2 linked regions of the Callithrix jacchus genome follow. The protein of the gene in region 1 purifies or fractionates together with the protein of each later gene. This does not show direct contact. Links are inferred from orthologs where the notes say so. Each region holds a gene or a part of one and is shown on either strand. Other genes may lie near its edges.

Region 1 (3,819 bases):
TGCAGTGAGCCAAGATGGTGCCACTGCACTCCAGCCTAGGCATCAGAGAGAGACTCCATCTAAAAAAAAAAAAGAAAAAACATTTTTAAAAGTTAAAAACAGTTTATCTAATTTCTTTTGTTTCCTTTGCATTTGTGTTCTAGGTCATTCTTAACTGTTCAGCCCTACCTTGCCTTCTCCACTTGTTGAGCAGTCCCAAGGAGTCAATCCGGAAGGAAGCTTGCTGGACTATTTCAAATATTACTGCTGGCAACAGGGCTCAAATACAGGTAAAACAGGCAGGGAAGTCAAGGGGCATGGGAACTCCTACGAACATGGGAGGTTGTAGAATATTTGCTTTTAGAAGAAAGAATTTGTTTCCCTTTAGAAATTAGCGTCAATGTGTGCTATTGGTCAAAGAAGCTGTGTAACCAAAACTGGCTTTTTCTGTAGCCTGTCACCTGTATAGGAAGAACAAAAGAAAACTCCCAGGATGGGGAAGATGTCTAAGTCTTAGCTGATTTAGGGACTAGATTTATTTATCTTCCTGAAATGACTTTCTCCTTCCGTCTACTTCCCCTCAATTTTCTCAGGCTGTTATAGATGCAAATATCTTTCCTGTGTTGATCGAAATTCTTCAGAAAGCAGAGTTTCGTACAAGGAAAGAGGCAGCCTGGGCCATCACCAATGCCACATCAGGTGGAACCCCTGAGCAGATCAGGTATTCTTTTCTCATTGTCTTGAATGATATGGATGCTCTCCCTTATGGTTTGTAAGTCACCATAAACTGCTCTTGCTCAAACAGGTCTGCCGTCTAATCCGGCTATAATAGAATTTTACTGGTAAACTGCTACAGTGTCACTGGAATCTGGAATAGATTCCATGTAGGCCATGTGGGAATCTATTCAGTGACACTGTAGCAGTTTACCAGTTTTCCCTTCTGGAGAAGAGAAACATGACCTCGACATCCATCCTTTCTCTACCTTTTCCTATCCACCAGAGATCTAAAATCTATGTAGTTCTCAGTCATTCCTACAAATCAAGGCTAACCATGCTGTGGCTCACTCAAAACAGTTTCTTCAGCCTGGCCAACATAGAAAGATTCTTATCTCTACAAAAGATATGAAAACTAGCCGGGTGTGGTGGTTTGTGCTGATAGTCCCAGCTGAGGTGGAGGATGACTTGAGCCTTGGAAGATCAAGGCTGCATTCAGCTGTGATTATACCATTGCAGTCCAGCCTGAGTGACAGAGCCAGAGTCTGTCACACACAAATACACGCACAAAAAACAAGCTCACCGATGTGGTGGCTCATGTCTGTTATGCTAGCACCTTGGGAAGCTAAAGCAGAAGGATCCTTTGAGCCCAGCAATTCAAGACTGGCCTGGGCAATATAGGGACATCTCATCTGTACAAAAGTGTAAAAATTAGCAAGGTGTAGTGATGTGTGCTTATGGCCGCAGCTACTCAGTAGGCTGAAGCAGGAGGATCACCTGAGCCCAGAAGGTCACAGCTGTAATGAGCCATGATTGTGCCACTACACTCCAGCCTTGGTGATAGAGCAAGGTCCTGTCTCAAATAAAAAATCAGCTTCTTTGGGAAATTAATTTAGGGTATGAGACTTGAAAGAAGCAAATAGAACGCTGTTTTATATATGTGTACTCTTTTTTTTTTTTTTTTTAAGATGGAGTTTTGTTCTTGTTGTCCAAGCTGGAGTGCAGTGGTGCAATCTCAGCTCACTGCAACCTCCGCTTCCTGGGTTCAAGTGATTCTCCTGCCTCAGCTTCCTGAGTAGCTGGGATTACAGGCATCCACCACCACACCCGGCTAATTTTTTGTATTTTTTAGTAGAAATGGGGTTTTACCATGATAGCCAGGCTGGTCACAAACTCCTGATCTTGAGTGATCCTCCCACCTCAGCCTCCCAAAGTGCTGGGATTACAGGTGTGAGCCACTGAGCCTTACTCTTTTATTTTAGTTTCCATTATCTGAACATTAGTGGAAAGTGGTGGGAATAGATAGGTGTCTTGCCCTTGACTTGTTGCCTATTAAGGGGAGCATAGTCAGTATATATAAAGCGTTAGGGCCGGGCGCGGTGGCTCACGCCTGTAATCCCAGCACTTTGGGAGGCCAAGGCGGGTGGACCACGAGGTCAAGAGATAGAGCAACATGGGTGAAACCCCGTCTCTACTAAAAATACAAAAAATTAGCTGGGCATGGTGGCACGTGCCTGTAATCCCAGCTACTCAGGAGGCTGAGGCAGGAGAATTGCCTGAACCCAGGAGGCAGAGGTTGCAGTGAGCCGAGATCGCGCCATTGCACTCCAGCCTGGGTAACAAGAGCGAAACTCCATCTCAAAAAAAATAAAAATAAAAATAAAAAAAATAAAGCGTTAGGAGAGAAGAGATAGCTGTTTAGTTAAGCTTTGAAGGATAAATATGGAGTTGTAAAAGGCCTCTTAGGGAAAAGCATAAATAAAGGTACAAGAATCACAAACCTGGAGACCTTTATGAGTGTGACTAGAACGTATTGTCCTTGGAAGGGAATAATGGGAGGCAGACCTGGAAAGGAGCTAGGAGCCAGATAGCAGAGCATCCAGACTGAGCTGGGCTTGTGGTATTATGGTATTGTTGTGCCATATAATTTGGAGTTCAGGGAAAAAGGGAGCCTATGAAAAATTTTAAGCAGGTAAGTGATGTGTTCAGAGTGGTAATATTGCAGCCAAGGAGAAATTAGAGGCAAGGAGGAGGAAGATGTGGTAGCATCTACATGTGAAATGAACTAGACCAATATCAGCAGGAGGATAGAGAAAGGATATGTGGTTATCAAGGCTTAGTAAGAGCAGTGGCTCACACCTGTAATCCCAGCACGTTGGAAGCCCAAGGTGGGAGGATCACTTGAGACCAGGAATTTGAGACCAGCCTGGACAACATAATGAGACCTTGTCTCTACAAAAAATAAAATTAGCTGAGCATGGTGGTACATGCCTGTAGTCCCAGCTGTTTAGGAGGCTGAGGCAGGAGGATCACTTGAGCCCAGGAGTTTGAGGCTGCAGTGAGTTGGGATCGCACTGCACCCCAGCCTGGGTGACAGAACAAGACCCTGTCTCAAAAAAAAAACTTAGTTGGGGAACACTCTCATTCTGTGGCATGGAATGAGGTGCTGCACAATTCTTAAAAAAAAAAAAAGTGATTAAGAATGGGTTGCTGAGAGTGCAGAGCACCTGCCCAAGCACTTCATTTGTTCTGTATTAGTTTAGAACTTGCCTGGTCTCTGGCCTCTAGGTACCTGGTCTCACTGGGTTGCATCAAACCGCTATGTGACTTGCTGACTGTAATGGATTCGAAGATTGTGCAAGTGGCCCTCAATGGACTGGAGAACATTCTGCGGCTTGGAGAGCAAGAGGGCAAGCGCAGTGGCTCAGGGGTCAATCCCTATTGTGGCCTCATAGAGGAAGCCTATGGTATGTGTCTTCTCCTCAATCTAAGTCAGAACCTGAGACTGTAGGCTTCTAATGTGGTATACATATGTTGGTGGTGGCAGACTGTGAGTTAGGGAGCATCCATAGCTTCCATGTGACTTACATCTGTGTCTCCAAAACAGTTAAGAGCTCTTGCCTTAGCCAAGTTTCACCATCCACAGGGTTTCAGACATTACCATGAGTATAACGGACATGTACTGAGTAGCTCGGGTACAGCTAGGGTTTGGATTTGGCTCATCTTTTGAGTTCAGATTTGTCTCCCACCCATTTCTTCTTCTAAGTAGTGATAAATCAGTTCTTTTTCTGTTAGGCTGTACCTAAGAGTGCTGAATTGACTCATCACCCATCCCTGAGAGGTTGA
Region 2 (3,819 bases), on another chromosome or scaffold:
ATTTCTAAGGGCTTATTTTAGAGATTTACAAAAGAAAATGCACTGCCTGGAATAAAAAAATTACTTTTCTCATGTTGCCTTTCCAAGTAGGGTTAATTGAAGTAACAGAATCCTGCCTTATTTATATCTCTTATATAGAAACCTCAACAGCCCCTCAGCATTTGCCCTTACCCTATCTCCTCAAATGCCACCCTGTATACAAGCCCTCCCACCTAACTTTCAGGATTTCCTCCCTCCCTTCCACTCTTGTTTTATGTGCTGCCTGGAGTCATCGCCAGATACCCTCTTGTTGTCTACAGATACGTAATTATAAACTTGGCAAATGCAGTGAGGAAAAAAAAATACCTGAGAGTCTAACAGAGAGACCTAATATAATTGAAGATTTAAGGAAGACACTTGTAAAGTGATGTTTGAGTCAGGATCTAAAGGATAGAATAGTAGGTGGGCAGCTGAAGACTGGAGGGAAGAATGCTCCTGACAAGAGGACAGTGTGTGTGAGAGCCTTGCAGTGGGAACTCCAGGCTAGTCCAGGATGCTGAAAGAAGGCCCATCATGACCGATCATGGGGGATGTCCCAAAATGAGACAGCATTCCTTTACAGATGAATATCTTAGAGACCATCTTCTGGGTCCTGAGTGCATTGGAGCCCAGTGGAGAGTGTTAAGGAAGGTAGTGACATGACTCAGGTCCATATTTCTGAAAGCTTAATCTGGCTGCGACTGGAATATTCATTGAGGGAGAGTTAAGAATGGAAGCAGGGGACAAGCAAAATGAGTTTTTGGACTGGTACCACTAAGTGGTGATTGTGACTGAAGCAGCAGGATTGTGCCAAATGCAGGAAGTAAGAAGTGGACCTATTTGAAATTGATATTTTCTAGGTAAAGTAGAGAGGACTTAGTGATGTGTGTTGAGCACAGTGGGTAAAAGAGGGGGAGATGGCATGGATCATTAGATTGATTTACTGAAATGGCAGACACTGGCAGAAAAAGAGTAGTGATGTTCAGCCTTAGATGTGGGAAGTTAGAAAGTGCCAGTGACACATGCAGGTGAAGATTTTTAATAAGCAGTACAATCAGTGAGCGACTAGAGAGAGTTGAACTACAGATAGCTCAGAGGTGGAAGAGAGTAGGGCTCTGGGCCGAACTCTTCAGAATCTTGAAGTTTAAAAGTTGGGTTTTAAAAAAAAGAAACCTGCAAGTAAAAAGGAAAAAAAAAAAACACACAAAGAAGCAGTCCATGATGGGGAAAAATTAATAGTGTTTCTTGCCAGAGATGTCCAGAGATGAAAGTGAATCTTTAAGAAAGAAGTCAGCAGCTATTTTCAGTGCTGCTATGAGAGATCACGTAAAGTAAAATGGAACCAGTAGAAAAGAAGATAGCTCTTCTTCCCTATCTCATCGCTCCAGAGACTCTTTCATTTGCTTCCTGACCTATGTGTTATACTAAAAGAGCTATCTGAAACGCCCTGAGATTTAGAATGCATATTTCTTTTAGGTATGATATGTTATTTTTGATTCATTTTTTTATTACTCTATTGTGAATTTATAGGAAATGGTAGCTTTTTTAGTTAAGTCCAGAAGATGTCACTGTTGTACAAAAGTCAGTTGAGGAATTACAAACATTTTGGAAGCTTTTTCATTAAGTATTCTTTTTTGGACAGAATGGCAAAGAAATACAATATGAAACTAGTCTACAAAAAAACATTTCGGGAATTTTACGAAGAAAAGATCAAGAACAATGAAAATAAAATGCTGTTAAAACGAATGCAGGCCTTGGAGGTGAGTTTTTAGAAAAAATGTGAAAATTCCAGTCATGGTGAACTTGTTCGGCTGTTCTTGAGATCCTTGCTAGGCCATCTGGACATGAAGTAATTATGTGTATTACACTCTTCAGCACTTAGGACAGAGCTTGATGCAGAAACTGCATGATGACTGTTCAGTAAATACTTGATGAAAGAATGCTGTTACCAAATTTTGTTTTCTAGATAGTACTGCTTTAAAATAGGATTTCACAACCTCAGAACTGTTGACATTTTGTTCTGGATAATTTCTTGCTGTGAGATGCTGTGCATTGTAGGAGATTCAGTAGCATTCCTGGCTTCTACCCACTAGATGCCTTCTAGTAACACCCTTGTCCTCAGTTATGGTAACCAAAGAACTGTCTCCAGACATTGCCAAATGTCCTCTGGTGGGCAAAATTGCCCCAAGTTGAGAACCAGTTCTTTGCAACAGTGTCTTTTGGTTACAAGAGTAATTTAGAACCTTCCTGGCCAGTGTGCACACAAGCTCATACCATGCATAATTTCGTTGTACGGTAATTGTTTAGCAGGGTTCCAGTCTTTTAGACTGTATTGTTGCTGAGACCTCTCCTGTCCTAATGCAGCAGTGAAGGTATCTATGTAAACTTCAAGCACACAGCCATTGTTTGTTTTTCCTTTTTCTCCTTATCAGACAATATCTGGTCAGACAGACCTAAAATATTCAGTGAACATATTTTTTATTGATCAGTAGAATCATATTCATCAAATGGATATTAAACTTCTTTAGAAAATTTATTCAGTTTAAGTACTTTAAGCACTTAACCTTATAATTACTTCCATGAAGTAGGCAGAATGGTAACTTTTCACTTTTTTTCCGATTCTTTTTTTTTTTTTTTTTTAAATGACAGAGTATTGCTCTGTTGCCTAGGCTGGAGTGCAGTGATGCAATCAGAGCTCTCTGAGGCCTTCACCTTCTAGACTCCAGTGATTCTCCCACCTCAGCCTCCTGAGTACCTATGACTACAGGCATGTGTCACCACACCTTGCTTATTTTTAAATTTTTTGTACTGGTGGGGTTTCACCATGTTGTCCAGGCTGGTCTCAAACTACTGGCCTCATCAAGTGATCCTCCCGCCTTGGCCTCCCAAAGTACTGGGATTACAGGTATGAGCCACTGCACCTGGCCACTTCACATTTAAGTGGGCAGCCTGAGGCTCAGAGGATAAACGACTTGCCCAAGGCAGTATAGCTACTGACCTTTAGAGTTTCCTCAGTTTTTGTAGATGATACTCAAACAAAAGTCTCCTGTTGAAGTTGTTCCTGCACCCAGCCACTCCCACATGTCGAGTGGGAAGACTTTCTGTAAATTCTAAATTGTCTTTTGAGAGACATAATCAATAAAATGTTATATTTTTTATACTTTAGATCTAAGAATGTTTGTATTGGCTTTATCTTAGGAAGGTAGGCTTGTTTTGTTTGTCTTGAGGAAGAGGAGAAAACTAGCAAAACCATGTGTGAATAACTTCCCCACCAACCCCACACACACATGCATTACCTTTAGCATATTGCCTTTATTTGATGGTGTTTTGCGCGACAGTGATCAATTATTTAGCCTTTCTCAGCATACAGGTAATGAAATCACTTGTGTAATTTATGTCAAAATGTACTTAGGTAGTAGGGTATGGGGTAACAAGAATGTTATGGCATGTTATTCCAGTGAATAATGCAGTCCATGGTGGAAATTTTAGTATTACAGACACATTCCAAGTGCAGTGAGTATATAAACGACCTTTTGGGAAGAAAGGAGACTGGAAGAGACTGAAAGAGGGCAGGCAGAGAAACCTGAGAGCAAGGGGATGTTCAACGAAGTAGTACTAATGGCTTTCACATTTTTTCAACAATCTTTCTTCTCTCCCAGTACTGCCCTTGAGGATATGACCTGTTAGCATGGCTGTCTGGGGACAGAAACAGTAATAACATGCAGTTTGAAAATTTATTTGGTTTTCCTACTTCTTGACCAAGTCACTCTGATGGGCCTGTAAAGGACTTGGATCAGGAAA

The links.
Region 2: the proteins of KPNA6 (region 1) and RNMT purify together in Homo sapiens (co-immunoprecipitation; 3 studies listed by BioGRID and IntAct, counting the BioPlex papers as one, with this or other methods). This does not show direct contact. The link is inferred for Callithrix jacchus from reciprocal best matches to the Homo sapiens genes KPNA6 and RNMT.

What each region holds. Positions count from the first base shown.
Region 1 is NC_133508.1:68,772,335-68,776,153, forward strand, and holds part of KPNA6 (importin subunit alpha-7), read left to right. Parts: intron 1-143; coding exon 144-269; intron 270-572; coding exon 573-700; intron 701-3,261; coding exon 3,262-3,440; intron 3,441-3,819. UniProt on the Homo sapiens protein: Functions in nuclear protein import as an adapter protein for nuclear receptor KPNB1. Binds specifically and directly to substrates containing either a simple or bipartite NLS motif.
Region 2 is NC_133514.1:48,708,534-48,712,352, reverse strand, and holds part of RNMT (mRNA cap guanine-N(7) methyltransferase), read left to right. Parts: intron 1-1,660; coding exon 1,661-1,778; intron 1,779-3,819. UniProt on the Homo sapiens protein: Catalytic subunit of the mRNA-capping methyltransferase RNMT:RAMAC complex that methylates the N7 position of the added guanosine to the 5'-cap structure of mRNAs. Binds RNA containing 5'-terminal GpppC.